5 linked regions of the Macaca mulatta genome follow. The main gene of each other region encodes a partner of the protein of the gene in region 3 in a complex. Links are inferred from orthologs where the notes say so. Each region holds a gene or a part of one and is shown on either strand. Other genes may lie near its edges. The genes, in order: KANSL3, KANSL2, KANSL1, OGT and PHF20.

Region 1 (3,520 bases), on a different chromosome or scaffold from region 3:
ATGGGAAGAGAAAGAAGACAGTAAGACAGGAGGCCAAAGATGGGAGCAGAACAACCCCAGAATGCTGGGTATGCCAAGTGCACTGAAACAGGGGCGTTCTCACCTCCAGCACTTTGCTTCTCACTGCCCCAATCATATGCTCAAGACACTGTAGAACTCCTACCCCACTGCCATTGTTCAGCAGATGGGTGGCTACAGGGATGACCTGAAGGAAAGAAGTAGCCCCCACAACAGCAGAGGTAAGTTTCAAATCTTTCAATTCTGTTTGACCTACCCCAAACCCTTTCAACCTTGGAATTCCACATGAAAGAAGGGTTAGAGGAGGCTCCACATTCAAGTTATCCATTTTGACCTCCCTCCCACATATTCTTCTCCTCAATTCTCCAAGACTATATTCCCTGCCAGGAGGGAGTTCCTCCTGCCCCCACACATACCTTGCCTAAGCAGGAGAGCTGAGACTGCCAGAAGCGGTGGCGGCGTGAAGTGGGAAACACAGAGCTGGAGGGACCAGAGGAGGCGATGAGAATCAGTGGAGAGCCAGGGAGTTTGCTCTAAAGAGGAAGGATCCCACCCAAAAACCAGTGAGTGAGAAGTTTTCTTCCACGAAATTCCAAGTATCCCAATACCTTTCTCATCCCAACCAATGCTCCTTTGCTTGTGAAATATGTTAAGCACTATACAAAATAAATTACTAGTAATAGTTAAAGAAGCCAGTCAGTCGCACCGGCTCACACCTGCAATCCCAGCACTCTGGGAGGCCGAGGCAGGCGGATCACCTGGGGTTAGGAGTTTGAGACCAGCCTGGCCAACGTGGTGAAATCCTGTCATTACTGAAAACACAAAAATTAGCCAGGCATGGTGGTGCATGCCTGTAATCTCAGCTACTCAGGAAGCTGATGCAGGAGAATTGCCTGAACCTGGGAGGCAGAGGTTGCAATAAGCCAAGATCATGCCACTGCACTCTAGCCTGGGCAATAGAGCAAGATTTTGTCGCAAAAAATAATAACAACAGGCCGGGCGCGGTGGCTCACGCCTGTAATCCCAGCACTTTGGGAGGCCGAGACGGGCAGATCACGAGGTCAGGAGATCGAGACCATCCTGGCTAACACGGTGAAACCCCGTCTCTACTAAAAAGAAGTACAAAAAACTAGCCGGGCGAGGTGGCGGGCGCCTGTAGTCCCAGCTACTCGAGAGGCTGAGGCGGGAGAATGGCGTAAACCCGGGAGGCGGAGCTTGCAGTGAGCGGAGATCCGGCCACTGCACTCCAGCCTGGGCGACAGAGCGAGACTCCGTCTCAAAAAAAAAAAAAAAAAATAATAATAATAATAATAATAATAACAACAACAAAAAATAGTTAAAGAAGCCATTTATCCTCCTGCCAAGGTTCTAAGGCTTGAGTCTAAAATTTGTATGTGCCATTGTTAAGTCCTGAGCCATCCAACTTACTGGTTTGTTATGAGAAAGCACGCCCACAGCAGGGTCCCAGGGCCTCTTCAGTAGGAGAGACAAGGCCTCAGCTCCTGCAGCCCCAGTCTTCGTGTTGGATGACACAAGCATCCGGTCAATCAAGGTTGGGATCTACAAAGAAGGAAGAGCAAAGCTGATTCCAGTGTAAAGCAGGAGACCTGCCACCATCAGCAATCAAGCAGAAGAGCAGGGCCCCACTAGAAGCCAGACAGACTTCAACTAAGCCTCTAAAAACCTCCTCAGGAGCAGCAGTATATATAAATAAACGGGCGAAAAGTATGCTCCCACCATGAAAAGTGAATGGGTACAATCCTTTGGAAAGCAGTCTGGATATGTGGCAAGGGACTTAAATGTACTCCCATCCCTTTTCCAAATGTTTCTACTTCTGAGAACCTTTCCAAAGAAAACATATCAGAAACAAAAACACACACAAAAGGATAAGGAGAGTTATGCACAGAGACAAATCAACTATGAACAATAATAAAGTAAAAACAATTTAATATATGTATGTATACGTAAGGGAGTAGTTTAGTCAACTATCTACCTAATTGGATATTAACAATTATTTTCAAATATTTACAAGAATTTATTTATTTATTTATTGAGACAAAGTCTCGCTCTGTCACCCAGGCTAGAGTGCAGTGGCCTGATCTTGGCTCACTGCCACCTCTGCCTCCTGGGTTTAAGCAATTTCTTGTTTCTCAGCCTCCCAAGTAGCTGAGATTACAGGCGTGCACCACCATACCCAGTTAATTTTGTGTATTTCTAGTAGAGATGGAGTTTCACCTTATTGGTCAGGCTGGTCTTGAACTCCTGACCTCAAATGATCCACCCGCCTCAGCCTCCTAAAGTGCTAGAATTACAGGCGTTAGCCACTGAGCCCAGCTTTCAAATATTTACAAGAATACATAATAACATATAGCAATAATTTTGCCAAAATGTTACAGGTAAAATAGAAAATATAAAAATTATCTCTACTCAAAGCTGGGCTCAGTGGCTCATGCCTGTAATCCCAGCACTTTTAGGAGCCAAGGTGGGCAGATCACTTGAGGTCAGGAGTTCGAGATAAGCCTGGCCAATATTGTGAAACCCTGTCTCCACTAAAAATACAAAAATTAGCCAGGCGTGGTGGCACACCAGTAATCCCAGCTACTCGGGAAGCTGAGGTACGAGAATCACTTGAACCCAGGAGGTGGAGGTTGTGGTGAGCTGAGGTCATGACACTGCACTCCGGCCTGGGCTGCAGAGTGAGACACTATCTCAAAAAAAAAAAAAGAAAAAAGAAAAAAATTATCTCTACTCAGAAAAAAGACTAAGAAAATATGCTGCACACCTGTAGTACCAGCTGCTCAGGAGGCTGAGACAGAAGAATCACTTAAACCCAGGAGGCAGAGGTTGCAGTGAGCCAAGAGCGCGCCACTGCACTCCAGCCTGGGCAACAGAGGGAGACTGTCTCAAAAAAAAAAAAAGAAGCCAAAATGTTAATAATGATCTCTAGAGAGTTTATGGGTGACTTTTTCCTTTACAGATTTCTATGTTCCCTAAATTTCCTCAATGAGTGTCAGTTGATTTTATAATTTTGTTTAATCTCCATTTTCTTCTAGAGTACTGCTTTCAAGCTGTGGTGTACTAAATAAACCTGTTATTATGTACAAAAATATATATCCTGCTATGCTATGTACAGTGTACTTTATCTCATGTCTGTTTTTTACCATCTACCAGAAATGTAACATTACAGATGTGCAAATATAAGTTTCAGACATGTTGATGCTTACACTGAGAAGAAATATCTGAGAAGAAATATCTGCGAATTCCATGCTACCCACAAAAGGTCAAAATGACCTAGGGGAAAGGAAAAATGTTTAAATATTAGAGGCAGTTTTCAGAAAAACAAAAAGGTTTTGAAAAATTGGAGAATAAAAAGTACTACGGTTTTGATGCAAGTTGTAAAACTCCAAAAATAGCAGAAGATAAGTTGCTCTTAATTTAAAAACAGAGACACTAAATGGATTTCTATATGAGAAATTAGAGAATTATAACCATTAGACTTTCT
Region 2 (2,536 bases), on a different chromosome or scaffold from region 3:
AGGCCCAATTTCTCTTATGTTTTAAGTATATTCCTACCATTAGAGAATTTTGAGATGGCATGAGCATTATTGTTTTTTTAAATAATTATTTAAAATTTGAAAATATAGACACAGGGTCTCACCATGTTGCCCAGACTGGTCTGGAAGTACTGAGCTCAAGTGATCCACCTATCTCAGCCTCCCAAAGTGCTGGGATTACAGGTGTAAGCCACCACACCTAGCAGAGATGACATTGGCATTAATCGTGAGAAATGGGAGTGGGAGTAGGGGACACAGAGTGGAAGGGTAGAAAGAAGATATTTGGAACTGATTGGCTTTAATAAGTCCTGCCCCTTTTCATTTACTTCTTCCTTAAAAGCAAAACCAAAATGAGCTACTGAAGATTTATTTTTTCCTGGGATGGAAGTATTATCTGCCCCAACTTCCCTTTCCCATCAGAGACAGGTCCCTAAAACCGCGAAAGAGAGACTATATTCTCAAACAAAACATGCATTCAATTCAGGTGACTGTTTGATATTTTCATAACATTTTCTTTAACATTTAATAGAAACTATATACAATAAATTTGTACTATATTTTACATAAGATAGCAACCACAGAAATTTACATAGGTTAAAAGCAAGATGGATAAGGAGGACCCAGTCCTGTGGGCTGTTTTCTCAGAGGATAAAAGCCAGAGTTCACCACGGAAACAGGTTAAAGATTGCCCAATTAAGTAGAGGTGAAGAAAAGTTAAACTGCAGGTCTTTAGATAGAGATAACCAGATATTAGGGCCATCAGTATCTAAAAGACACTACTCACAAAGACAGCTCCCACCTAGCTACTTAAGTGGATTTCTATCCATGACTTTGGAAATCCCATTACAAAGATGTCACTTTCCTTTTAGGTATAGTACCAAATAATCCCAGAAGCTTTGATAGGGATTATCTCTCTTCCTTGCCCTGAGTGGGAAGAAACCCACAACTCTTAAGAAGTATTGGTCCATGTCCTCAAAATTTGGCTTTACTTTTGACTATAATACTCAATCCAGAAGAAAAACAAGATAGTCTGGGTTGCCTGTGTTTTGTGAGAGATGATCAGAAATATTTCTTTGAAGAATGAGAAATTTAAATCCACCAAAGTAAAATGGTTCCCCAAACTATCAACTAATAGAAGTGGGTTCTGGCTTCCCATTTGCAGTAGCCAATCCACTCTGAGACAATGGTGCAGAGGCTTTCTCAGAATTTCGAGATCCCTGGGATCTGCACCCATCTCCAGCCATCTGCATCTGGCCCTGTTAAAAGAAATAAAGGCACTTCAGTTAGAAATTCATTCACTGTGGTCTGAAGTATGAATCTGACTTATCAGTGGCCATTTATACTAGCAATAAGAAAAATACAACAGAAATTAATTAATTCTGGACAGATGCTCCTCCCTATATTAGCTATCCCTGTCCCTTGGAAGAGCCTACTCCTGAGCCTCTTCCAATGGGTTGGAGAGCTGTAGGTTGTTTCTTCCAAATGAAACAGCCATTCCCTGCTGAGGTCCCAGAACAGCCAACAGACCATAGGAAGACAGTCCTTTAGGCCTCTGCTTGAAACCAACAGCTACAGTACAACTGCTGGTTTTCAGTCAGGGCCACTGGAATTCTACCCAAGGTTCACAGACAGAACTCAAATCACACTACTTTACTGGTCATTCTATAATGAGAACAATTTCAGTGCTGAACTCTCCCTCAGAAGGTACAGTTTACCTAGATTCCTTATCTCAAGCTTTTATTTAAATAAATTTATGTCCTACTCTGGGATATGAGGATCAGGGGCCATTAGGTGTTCTAAGAGTCTATCTGGAGAACTACAGCAACAAGGGTATACAGGAGCAAAGTAGGGCATTTTTAAAAGTGCTTTGCTTATATGGTATTCAATGAGCGAGAGACATGTGGAGCGTCTTTATACTAGTGATGACACCCCACTCCCCTCCAGGAGTACATGCTATCCAGCAGGGAACCCTCTGCCTGGCCAGGTCTCTACATGCGGGAAACAGGTGGGATTGTTCTTCACTTGCCAAAATATCCACTGGGTCTTCAGCAATTTCTTTGACTAAATGATCTTCAAGGGTTAGTGAAGGATCAAAAAGCAAAGGTGAAGGAGGACACTGCATACCATCACCCACAACATCCAAGTCCTAGAAAACAAGAGAGAAAAGCCCATCAGCAATACCAAGGGAAACAATAATAAAGGTGGTATGTTTTTCAGCAAACTTTAAAGCAATACTCTGCTGTCTCCCTCAACCCTAGCCTACCTTTGATCAAAAAAAAATTTTACCAGAACGTCCAACAAATGAAACAAGATCCAAGAGCACTGAGAGCTTTTGCTGCCAAGTGTAAAACATAGACCAATATAGTGGATTAAAAAACACAATTCTGGCCACCACACCTGTAATCCCAGCACTTTGGGAGGCCGAGGTAGGCAGATCGCTTGAGCCCAGGAGTTCAAGACCAGCCTGGGCAACATGGTGAAATCCTGTCTCTACAAAAACTGCAAAAATCAGCCAGGC
Region 3 (2,538 bases):
CTCAAAAAATAAAAAAAGAAAAGCATGTAACCTCCTCAGAAGAAAGATGCTATAATCTCAGGCAGCAGGCAAGAACCAACTCAGGCTCTATGCAAATTATCTATCTCACTGACCCCCACCAAACCTCAGAAAAATTTAACGGTGAGAAGCAAAATCTCCTTTAAAGAGCAATGTAGAACGGAGAGAAAATATCATACAGCTGACTTCACTAGAGAGAAAGTGGATCAACTGCTTTCACTCAACAAAAAGAAAAAGGAGACGATCAATACAGATCCCCTCACCTCCTGGCAGCCCTTACCCTCAGTGAAAAGCCACCACCATTGTCTCTCTGGTGGCCATCAGATGAACCTGCGGCATTCCCACAAGACAGAATGGAGATTTCCCAAGGTATAGAGCAAGTTAGAGTACCTCAAAGAATGGCACCAGCCAGCCAGCTCCGAAGCTGCCAACACTACCATACATACACAGTTCAGTAAGTCAAGAAAGGCCTGGTACACAGCATTCTGTAACTTTTTTTTTTTTATTTTTTTCAATTTTTCCTTCTTTTTTTTTTAAGCACTAGTCTGTGCTTTGCGAACAGAATCAAGACATTAACAAAGATCAGCTTCTCTGAAGAAAAGCATTTCTATAGAACAAAGACAGCTACATGTTTCGCTGCCATTACACAGCTCCAAAGCAGGAAAAGAAAATATTTACAAAATACAAGTTTTTTTTTTTTTTCATTTTTTGTTTTTGTTTTTTTTTTTTCAATGCTAAAAGGGTTATTCAGAATTTTCAACCTTATAAATAGAAGAAGCACTTTATGCATAGGGATATGGTGCATTATTGTATTTTTTCTTTAAAGAAACAATGACAAACCCTTTAACTTGCAAACAGAAAAAAAAAATCACTAATGTTGAAAATTGTGAAAAAACCCCAACCATTAAGCAGTTGTCTACTATTTTTATACGATTACAAAATGGCCAAAAAAAAAGTCTTCTCCCCCCTCCCCCTTTTTGGTGATGTGATCATACAGGAGACAGGCACAAGGTTAACAGAGAAGGGTGAAGGGGGAACAATGGGAACCACAGCTAGGACCAGACAATGTTCCACAGGCAAGGGGAGCGTGAAAGACCAAGAGTGGAACTAACACCGACAGGGATCTGGATGTGAAGGAAACATGGCAAAGCGAATCAGAGAAAAAAAAAAAAATCACACAGGGAGATGGCTGCTCACTTCCCACAACCCCGTTTGCAGGGGAGTGGGAACAGAGGTTAAGTAGTCCTAACCCTACCTTCAGAGATCAGGATAGGTGGTAAAAAAAACATTCCGAGTGGAAGGACGGGTTGTGGGTGTGTATGTGGCATTGGAGAACGGACAGGGAAGGGTACCAAGGGGCATGATGAAGGGAACCTGAGCAGCCACAGCCAGGTTACTGCAGTTAAAGAGTCAAAACAGAGAAGACCAAATGCAGATGAAACAAAAAATAGGTCTCTAAGTTCTGGGTGAGAAGGGAAAGCTGTTCTGCCGGCTGAGCACTTGGTGAGAGCAGCTGGCAGTTACGGCAGAGAGGCTCTGGTGGGGATGTTCCAGCACGAAAAACCAAGGGGGGACCCAGCCAGGAGGGCCACAGCTGAGCCCAGCCACAGATGGGAGGGGAAGGGGTAAGAGCCCAGAGCACCCTGCCCCATTCCACCCTAGCCCGAGAAGGCCATGCTCAACTGGAGCCCTCTGCCCGCCAGGCTGTTCTGCCCTGCCCACAGGTGTGAGGGAGGGGGTGTGGTCATCTAAGATTGGTAAGTCCAGTGATTCAACAGTGCAGAGGATGTGCCAGGACCAGGCCAGCAGGGTCTCATCCTGAACTTCTGTTTGCCAACGGGAGGAAGTGCTCAGGTGTGTGACAAGAAAACATGGAAACAAAAAACAAAAATTAAAACGAGAGAAAAAAATACCAAAGTAGGATCTAAATTCCTTAAGTTCACTAAAAACTGTGAAAATTTCCGGCATATGATGTTTGAATATCAAACGCAGAGATTTCTGAAGCTTTAATGCCAATAGTTAGTGAGTCTGTTTAGATTCTTGTCTCCCGCTCATCTGTGAGTTGGGCGCTGAGCTGTGGCTGCTGCCACCAGATGCCGACTCTTGAGGGGGACAGTGGGAGGCGAGGTGGGTGCCGCCTCTGTCTCCCGGCCAGTCTTGCTGCCTGAGGTGCGTCGAGTGCAGCGGGCTGCTCGCTCCTGTGCATCCAGCTGGTCCTCACACTCCGCCTGGGGACTGTGCGCCAGGGGGAAGGTCCGCCGCTCCCAGGGCTGGACAGACTGTAGGCAGACAAGTTGCTCTGTGAGGACCCAGACCCAGCCAGCCTGCTTCCTGCTCCAAGGCCCTGCCACAAACCTTGTGGCCGGAGACTAGGACCAGTCTATCTAGCGTTCCTGGGACAGTCCAGGAACACCCCTCCTAGGGTGTACCCAGACAACCGTACTGACCATTTAGCAAAGATAAATATAGTTCCACTGAATGTTGAGGAGGTCAATTTAAGTGCGGCCCTTTGTCCCTTCA
Region 4 (4,253 bases), on a different chromosome or scaffold from region 3:
TATTTCCATAATTAATTGTTTGTTGACTGTTTTGAAGAAATTTAAGCAGAATTTGAGGATTTAGTTTATCAAACAATGTAGTGAAGGGGCTAGGTAGCAAAAACTTTTTTTTTCTTTTTTATTATACTTTAAGTTCTAGGGTACATGTGCACAACGTGCAGGTTTGTTACATATGTATACATGTGCCATGTTGGTGTGCTGCACCCATTAACTTGTCATTTACATTAGGTATATCTCCTAATGCTATCCCTCCCCCCTAGCAAAAACTTTTTGAAGAAATTCATTGACCTGCTTTCCTAGATCAAGGACTTTTTGAAATAAAAAGGCTCTCAGAGATCCAACTTGTAGCCTCCAGTGGCTTGTAATAATTTCTTGCTGATGTGGCAAGTTACCTTAAATCGTTTCTAGAACAAGACGTGAGGTATAAATGCCAATGTGACAAAATGTCTGAACAGTAGACTTGAAACTGCAGGAGGATCATAAGAACCCATTTGTTCAAGGAAGTGGAGGCAATTCATGACTAAATCTAGACGTGTGGTTTTAGGCAGATGGCAAGTGAATTCATTTATCATTGTTGATCTGCTTTGAGCTCAGTGGAATCGCCGATTGTGACAATCCGCAGAGCTAGTTGGTTGAAATGAAGTCACAACTCGGAGGAGAGTCATGAATTTTGACGAACATGAATCACCTTTAACATTTTTATGGCTGCCTTCGGAGTGCAAACCCCCGGCATGTCCCTGAGTTATTAAGCATTTGCCCTATCACTGTGGGCAGGAGTCTTCTGAATACCAAAACGATTTTGAAATTTCGGGCTATACGGTCAACATTGGAGGTGTCTCCATTCAACTGGCCCCGTGAAAGTTTCAGTCTTTTTCATCGAAGTGCCGAAATCGATGGCCGAGTCACAATGAAGACGGCTTCAATAGGAACCCTCTCGCTCCTAGTTTGGAGCAGCTGTCTTTGCGAGGCAATCTTCTGAATTGACTGGATCGGAATTGATCCGTGAGAGTCGTAACCATCCGTTTTTGTACGAATAAAGTTGACAAACTTTTTTAGACGCCTTTGGCGTTTATGTTTAAAACGACACCACCTGCTAAGTAACAAACAGACTCTTCTTTATCGCCGTGGCAAAAATGTATTCTCCCCGTGTGTGTGTTTGTTTGTTTTTACCCTTCCGCTACACTCTTAAGAAACTTAGCCGCTTCCGCCCGGGAGAGTGCCCTAACCGCGAGTCGGGTTGACAGGGCTGCTCGCATGCGCCGTCTCCACCGTGGTGTTTGTCGCAATGGGCGCTGCGCGGAGGGCTACATGGAATCTCGACTTTGCAGCTTGAAGTCATTTTGTTGGCGGCGCTGGTTACCGCGGCTACCTCCGCGCGGGCACTTGATTGTAACAGAAAGTAGTTCCGGCCCGTGTTGTTTCGGCCGAGGAGCCGTCGCCGCCATTTCAAGACCGTACTAGGTAGATGGCCAACTAGAGTTCCCAGGGTTCGAAGCCTGTAACTGCTGCCGCCGCTGAAGCCCTCCAGAGCATTGCTACGGCTGCTGCCCTTGTACTACTACCTCCAAATACGTTCTTGCCGGTAGTGGCGGCAGCAGGACCAGTTACCTTTTTTTTGCTCTCCCTCGAGAAGCTCCAGATGGCGTCTTCCGTGGGCAACGTGGCCGACAGCACAGGTACCGGTGTCCCGTTCTACCTTGGCAGATGCCCCCTTGGGGTCTCGCGCCGTCCTCTACCTTGTATCACTCCTTCCCTCCCTTACCTCGAACCATCCCCATTACATCAGTGACATTGCTGAGCTTCTCGTGGTAGATCGGGTTTTCCGCTGTCGTCCGCTTCCCGAACATTTCCTCCTCCTGCTTTGCTTGCTTTTTGCTCCCTTTCTTGCTTTGTTTTTATTTCGTAAATGTTGTAGCTTTCCACTCTCTCTGGGCGCTTCTATCACACGTGCGCGCTTAGAATGTCGTGGAATGGACTGCATTGGAATCCCTGCCCTTTCACTCCTTTGCAGCGGTTTTCTCCCCTAATTCCAGCTCTTCACCTCTCCTTTTTTCCCTCCGTCTCCCCCTCCAGCCTTTTCCCCTTAGCCAGATTTGGTCCTTCTCTGCCAATCTAGGGCGGGGGTGCCGTTCCGATGTAATCGTATCCTCACTTTGCATCACCCGAGGACGAGCAAAAGCTCGTCGATGGTGCCACAAGTCACCTCGAGAAGAGGGGACGTTGAGCAGCACCCCGCTAGGCAGTGCCTTTCTGGTGTTCTTTCGGTTGAGCGGTCCCGGTTTAGATTGGAAATTTCCAGGGGTTTCCTTTGCCATCGCTCAATTCCACCGCTGCCCTCAGCCTGGATTTCCCACCCTGTCCTCGGGGAACCACACCCTTCCCTTCGCGAGGTTGCCAGCCCTACTGTTCACTTCCTATCCTTGGGGGAGAAACCACCCCGACGCTGCTGCTTTGGCGTTGACCACCCTGCCCGCCCAATTCTCGCTTTGTGTTACTTTCTCGATGTATTCCTCCGCCGCCGCCTCTGGGTCTGCCATCCCCATTCTTTAGCCCAGCATCTCTTTATTCATAGGGTGTAATATTTTTTTAAGTTTCCATCCCTGCTTGAAGAGTTTGTAAAGCAACTGGAGTGTAGCTGCACAAGTACAAGGCGGTTGCCCTTTTAGACAATTCAGTCGCGAGCATTTGGTACTAAAAATACGAAAACAACCAAATTATAGGAGTGTCCTTCAGCTGCCTTTCCATATTGAGTCGATTTGGGCGGAAGGGGGTGGGGAATTGGGCTGCGCTTCTGAGGTTTCCCGCGAGGTTATTTTTTGGTTGTTTCTCAGTTGAGATGTGTGGAGGGTTTTAGTTCCTGTTTCTGGAAGTTGTGCTGTAAGTAGTAGGTGAATCGTCCATAGCATCTTATCCGTAATCGTAGGGAGTGGGATTAATAATTAGTCCGTGCCCCTCTCCCCACTTCTCCACCGTGATTTTCAAAGGTTTGAGATTCTGTACTAGCTTGCCCTTTTTAATGTGTTATTTTATTTGAGGAAGCTGTCGTTTCAAGTGTTAAAATAGATAAGCGGCATTGAAAAGTGACAAAGTAATGTGTGAAAACAAGGAGCTAGGAAGTTCTAGAAACTTAGCTAAAATGTAATTTTAGTTTCTATTAGAGAGATAACCTCTCCCAGATGTGGATGCCAGTCTCAGTGCTCTTTGTGTTGGTGGTCAGCTGTGCATTCTGTCAGGAAATTTACTTTGCTTTCCTCAGTATCCAGAGAACACTCATCAGCTCTAATGATTGGGGAGCTGGGCTCAAGTTTGAACTCGTCACCTTAACCTTGGTAGAATTAAAAAATTTGTCCATGGTTTCCCATTTCAACCAGCTAGTGAAGTGCTACGGTCGAATTCCCAGTTTAAGTATTTACAGTTGTGACAAGCAGTTTTTTTCCCCTCTTTGGGCTTTAGCTATATCCTTTAAAGATCTTGATGTATCTGGATTAAGTCAGTTGCAGCAAAGTGCTTTTATTTATTCGTTATGTTGCGCTTTATCAAATATCTTATATTTTAGCGTCCATCCCCCCTCCTCCCCAACGTTTTGACCATTGCAGTTGCAGATAACTGCCTGGTTTATATAGGCTTGTTTGCACTGTCTTAATCCTTTAGTCAATACCAGAGCTCTTTGGAAAATGTTAGTGCTAAACCAACGTGGGTGGGATTTAGCCAATTTAGTCTCCTTGTGAGTTTGGGATGGTAGAGGAGCAGTAAAATCTTGGGTCTTTATTTAAAATGTTTGATGACCCCTTTAACTATTTTGGCTGTTGACAAATGACAAACATCTTGTTTATCAGCTGTTTTAAAAATAGCACTTTGACTTTTTGGTTTTTCCCTTAGGCTCGTTTCTACTTGTCCTTTTAAAGAATTAAATTGTGAAATATACAAACACATTGATAGAATTTAAAGAGTTAACACATCTGGTGTCCTTACTGAGGTTAAGACTGGTAGATTGTTACCAGTACTCCACTTCCACAAATCCAACCTGAAATATGGTACAAAATATTAAGTTTTCCAATATGTTATTCTGGTATTATTAAGTCTTTGTGACCTTGCAAATCACACGTTTAATATTTTGTTTCTGTATGTAAACTAAGATATAAGGAATGATGTTCGGTGAATCCTTAGATGCTACCTATGATTTATAATTTAAAAGTACAAAGTATTTTTGGTCATAAAATGTAATCTCATTTGGAAGTAAATATTCCTTTCTA
Region 5 (3,520 bases), on a different chromosome or scaffold from region 3:
TACCCTTCAGGAAGGAGAAAAGCGGCACATGTATAATTTGAAGTTTGTTTACAACAATATAAAATAAGGTAATTCCCCAAACCACATTCTTTGTAACAAATCTTTACAGTGAAAGAGTTTGAAATTTTGGGAAACATTTTTGGACATTAAATAGAACGGGGAAGCTGTCAATATTAAGAAATGGGTAGAAAATGCTGTCCTTTGGGTTCCAGACCCTGCCTGCTTCAGTTTGGAATTCCTCCTAGATTTTTATTACTGTGAGATTCTAGTTCTTCCATAGGCTGTATGGGCTCTGCTACAAAAGCCATAACACAGCCAGCTCTGGGGTGAAAGCATACAAACTTGTCCCCAGTACCATGAAGTCATGCAAGAGATGTGGTGAGAAAAGTGAAGAGTCCTAAGGAGAAAGCAGGGCAGCCAAGACTCTGCTCCTTTCCAACCTCCACAGCGTGGTGAGCTCACAACATTCCCATGAAGCTAGAAAAGGAAAATGATGCCTGCTGCCCAAACACCATGCCAGGAAGAAACCAGGGAGGTGGCATGTGCCCAAACCTGACAGAAAAGTCAATTAAATAAACTGCAAATTGAATTTACAACTGTCTCCAACTAAACTTTTTTGGCTCTCATTCCATTTATCATCAGTGGCACGATTTCAAGTGAAGTTTGTGCAAAAAGACTCCCTTCATTCAATGATGTGCACAGAAGAAGGGAATCCCGAGTCTATTTGCTACCTTTATGGTAGGCTTCGAGATCAGAGTGTCCTCCCACAGCCAAAATGGCCTCTTTGTCCAATGTCCATCACACTCCTGGCCCAGATCCCTGAAGTCAGTTGGTGTCACGTGCATTCAGCATGCTAGGTTTATTTATTTAAATATGCGAAGCTCCTCCTGCAGGTGCCCCAGGATTGTGCTCCCATGAGTTTTGGGTGCCCAGTTTCATGTTGAGCAGCAGAGGGCGATCTGCTGCACCTTGCCCAGGTCCGTCAGCAGCTGCTTGATACAATGCTTGAGCTGCGGAAGCCTGGCCAGTGGCTCAGGGGGCTCCAGTTCCCCAGTGTAGTCCAGCCAGCTCTCCAACACTGTCGGCAGAAGAGAGAAATGAGACCCAGTGAGCTCCCAACACTTGATTTGCAAGAACATCAGCAAGCATTTCAGCACCTTATTCCATTAGACCATTCATGGGCAAGGGAGGAAGGGCCATTTCAGCCAACACTGTGTCAACACCTGCTCTGCAAAGTGGTACTCCCAGGACAAAACTCAAATGCTTTAGAGCAACACAGTCCAAAAGAACTTCCTGCGATGATGGAAATGGTGCGAGTTTGTGTCATCCAATATAGTAGCCACTAGCCATATGCAGCTATTGAGCGCTGGAAACATTGCTAGTGCAACTGAGGAACTGAATTTTAAATTTTATTCAATTTTGGTTAAACAGCCACACATTGCCAGAGGCTACTGTTACCAGAGTCTAGGAGTCTCGGAAGGAAGCACCTTTCTGAGTGTTACTACTCACTCTTTAAAAAGCTTTCCCAGTCGGGCGCGGTGGCACGTGCCTATAATCCCAGCACTTTGGGAGGTCAAGGCGGGCAGATCACAAGGTCAAGAGATCGAGAGTATCTTGGCCAATGTGGTGAAACCCCATCTCCACTAAAAATACAAAAATTAGCCAGGCATGGCAGCGCGCGCCTGTAATCCCAGTTACTCAGGAGACTGAGGCAGGAGAATCACTTGAACCCAGGAGGTGGAGGTTATGGTGAGCTGAGATCATGCCACTACACTCTAGCCTGGGCAGCAGACTGAGACTCCGTCTCAAAAATAAATAAATAAATAAATTAATTAATTAAGGGAGGAGACCACCCCTCATATTGTCTTATGCCCAATTTCTGCCTCCAAAGAAAGAAGAAGTAAAAACTAAAAGGCAGAAATGAAATCCACAGGCAGACAGCCTGGTGCTGCACCCTGGGCCTGGTAGTTAAAGATCGACCCCAACCTAATTGGTTCTGTTATCTATAGGCTACAGACATTGTAGAGAAATGCACTGTGAAAATCCCTATCCTGTTTTGTTCCGATCTAATTACCGGTGCATGCAGCCTCCAGTCACATACCCACTGCTTGCCCAATCAATCACGACCCTCTCACAGGCACCCCCTTAGAGTTGTGAGCCCTTAAAAGGGACAGGAATTGCTCACTCAGGGAGCTCGGCTCTTGAGACAGGAGTCTTGCCGATGCCCCCGGCCGAATAAACCCCTTCCTTCTTTAACTCGGTGTCTGGGGAGTTTTGTCTGCCGCCCGTCCTGCTACATTTCTTGGTTCCCTGACTGGGAAGCGAGGTGAACGGTGGATGGTCAAAGCAGCTCTTTAGGCGGCTTAAGCCTGCCCTGTGGAATATCCCTGCGTATCCCTGCGGGGAACTCCGACCAGCCTGAGCGACGCCCATCCTGAGCCGATCCTGAGAGCGCTCCCGGGTAGGCATTTGCCCCGGTGGGACGCCTCGCCAGAGCAGTGTGTGGCAGGCCCCCGTGGAGGATCAATGCAGTGGCTGAACACCAGGAAGGAATGGGCGCTTGGAGCCTGGACATCTAAAACTTGGTAAGACTAGTCTTTGAAACTTGCCCGCTCCATTTGAGTGGAAGCGTGCCCTGATCACCCATGTCGTGCCTTTATTGGTACTTTGGTTTTGGTTTTGACTTGGTTTGAATTGCTTGATAGGATTGGTCTTAGGAACTTGCCCACTCCATTTGAGTGGAAGCGTGGCCTGATCACCCACGGCGTGCCTTTATCGGCACTTTGGTTTTGGTTTTGACTTGGTTTGAATTGCTTGACAGGATTGGTCTTGGGAACTTGCCTACTCCATTTGCGTGGAAGCGTGGCCTGACCACCCACGGTGTGCCTGTACCGGCACTTTGGTTTTTGTTTTTGACTTGACTTGGATTGCTTGATATTTTGGTTTTGGTTTTGATCTGGCTTGGATTTCTGGATACTCTGATTTTGGTTTTGATTTTGGTTTGGTGTAAACTACAAAAGTGTGTGTGTCCCCTTTTTACCCATTTGTTTTGTGGTGGGCGTGATGTTTTGTCTAGAGGAAACATGGGAGAGGCACAAAGTAAGCCCACCCCACTAGGAACTATGTTGAAAATTTTCAAAAAAAGGATTTAAGGGAGACTATGGACTACTATGACACCAGGAAAATTTAAAACTTTGTGTAAGATAAGACTGGCCAGCATTAGAGGTAGGTTGGCCATTAGAAGGAAGCGTGGACAGGTCCCTTGTTTCAAAGGTATGGCACAAGGTAACCTGTAAGCCAGGAAACCCAGACCAGCTTGTTTTAGATCACCCGCCCCCAACACACGGTGGTTCAGAGAACAGCAGCATAAGCGGCTGGCAGAGGCAAAGAGAGAGAGAGGAAGAGACGGAGAGGAAGATACAGACAGGGAGTCAACGAGAGAGAGAGAGAGAGAACGACAGAAGCAGAGAGAAAGAGGAAGAGACAGAGGCAAAAGGAAAATCAAAGAGAGAGAGAGACA

Evidence for each region.
Region 1: KANSL1 (region 3) and KANSL3 share a complex: the UniProt entries of both Homo sapiens proteins name them as parts of the NSL complex. The link is inferred for Macaca mulatta from reciprocal best matches to the Homo sapiens genes KANSL1 and KANSL3.
Region 2: KANSL1 (region 3) and KANSL2 share a complex: the UniProt entries of both Homo sapiens proteins name them as parts of the NSL complex. The link is inferred for Macaca mulatta from reciprocal best matches to the Homo sapiens genes KANSL1 and KANSL2.
Region 4: KANSL1 (region 3) and OGT share a complex: the UniProt entries of both Homo sapiens proteins name them as parts of the NSL complex. The link is inferred for Macaca mulatta from reciprocal best matches to the Homo sapiens genes KANSL1 and OGT.
Region 5: KANSL1 (region 3) and PHF20 share a complex: the UniProt entries of both Homo sapiens proteins name them as parts of the NSL complex. The link is inferred for Macaca mulatta from reciprocal best matches to the Homo sapiens genes KANSL1 and PHF20.

What each region holds. Positions count from the first base shown.
Region 1 is NC_133418.1:5,266,602-5,270,121, forward strand, and holds part of KANSL3 (KAT8 regulatory NSL complex subunit 3), read right to left. Parts: intron 3,310-3,520; exon of another isoform or gene 3,285-3,309; coding exon of another isoform or gene 3,243-3,284; intron 1,579-3,242; coding exon 1,447-1,578; intron 552-1,446; coding exon 435-551; intron 206-434; coding exon 104-205; intron 1-103. UniProt on the Homo sapiens protein: Non-catalytic component of the NSL histone acetyltransferase complex, a multiprotein complex that mediates histone H4 acetylation at 'Lys-5'- and 'Lys-8' (H4K5ac and H4K8ac) at transcription start sites and promotes transcription initiation.
Region 2 is NC_133416.1:55,813,112-55,815,647, forward strand, and holds the end of KANSL2 (KAT8 regulatory NSL complex subunit 2), read right to left. Parts: intron 2,165-2,536; coding exon 2,045-2,164; intron 1,623-2,044; exon of another isoform or gene 1,486-1,622; intron 1,275-1,485; coding exon 1,143-1,274; 3' UTR 510-1,142; downstream 1-509. UniProt on the Homo sapiens protein: Non-catalytic component of the NSL histone acetyltransferase complex, a multiprotein complex that mediates histone H4 acetylation at 'Lys-5'- and 'Lys-8' (H4K5ac and H4K8ac) at transcription start sites and promotes transcription initiation.
Region 3 is NC_133421.1:70,930,606-70,933,143, forward strand, and holds the end of KANSL1 (KAT8 regulatory NSL complex subunit 1), read right to left. Parts: intron 2,298-2,538; coding exon 2,070-2,297; 3' UTR 502-2,069; downstream 1-501. UniProt on the Homo sapiens protein: Non-catalytic component of the NSL histone acetyltransferase complex, a multiprotein complex that mediates histone H4 acetylation at 'Lys-5'- and 'Lys-8' (H4K5ac and H4K8ac) at transcription start sites and promotes transcription initiation.
Region 4 is NC_133426.1:78,015,588-78,019,840, forward strand, and holds the start of OGT (UDP-N-acetylglucosamine--peptide N-acetylglucosaminyltransferase 110 kDa subunit), read left to right. Parts: upstream 1-1,443; 5' UTR 1,444-1,639; coding exon 1,640-1,676; intron 1,677-4,253. UniProt on the Homo sapiens protein: Catalyzes the transfer of a single N-acetylglucosamine from UDP-GlcNAc to a serine or threonine residue in cytoplasmic and nuclear proteins resulting in their modification with a beta-linked N-acetylglucosamine (O-GlcNAc).
Region 5 is NC_133415.1:88,781,160-88,784,679, reverse strand, and holds part of PHF20 (PHD finger protein 20), read right to left. Parts: intron 1,079-3,520; coding exon 936-1,078; 3' UTR 1-935. UniProt on the Homo sapiens protein: Methyllysine-binding protein, component of the MOF histone acetyltransferase protein complex.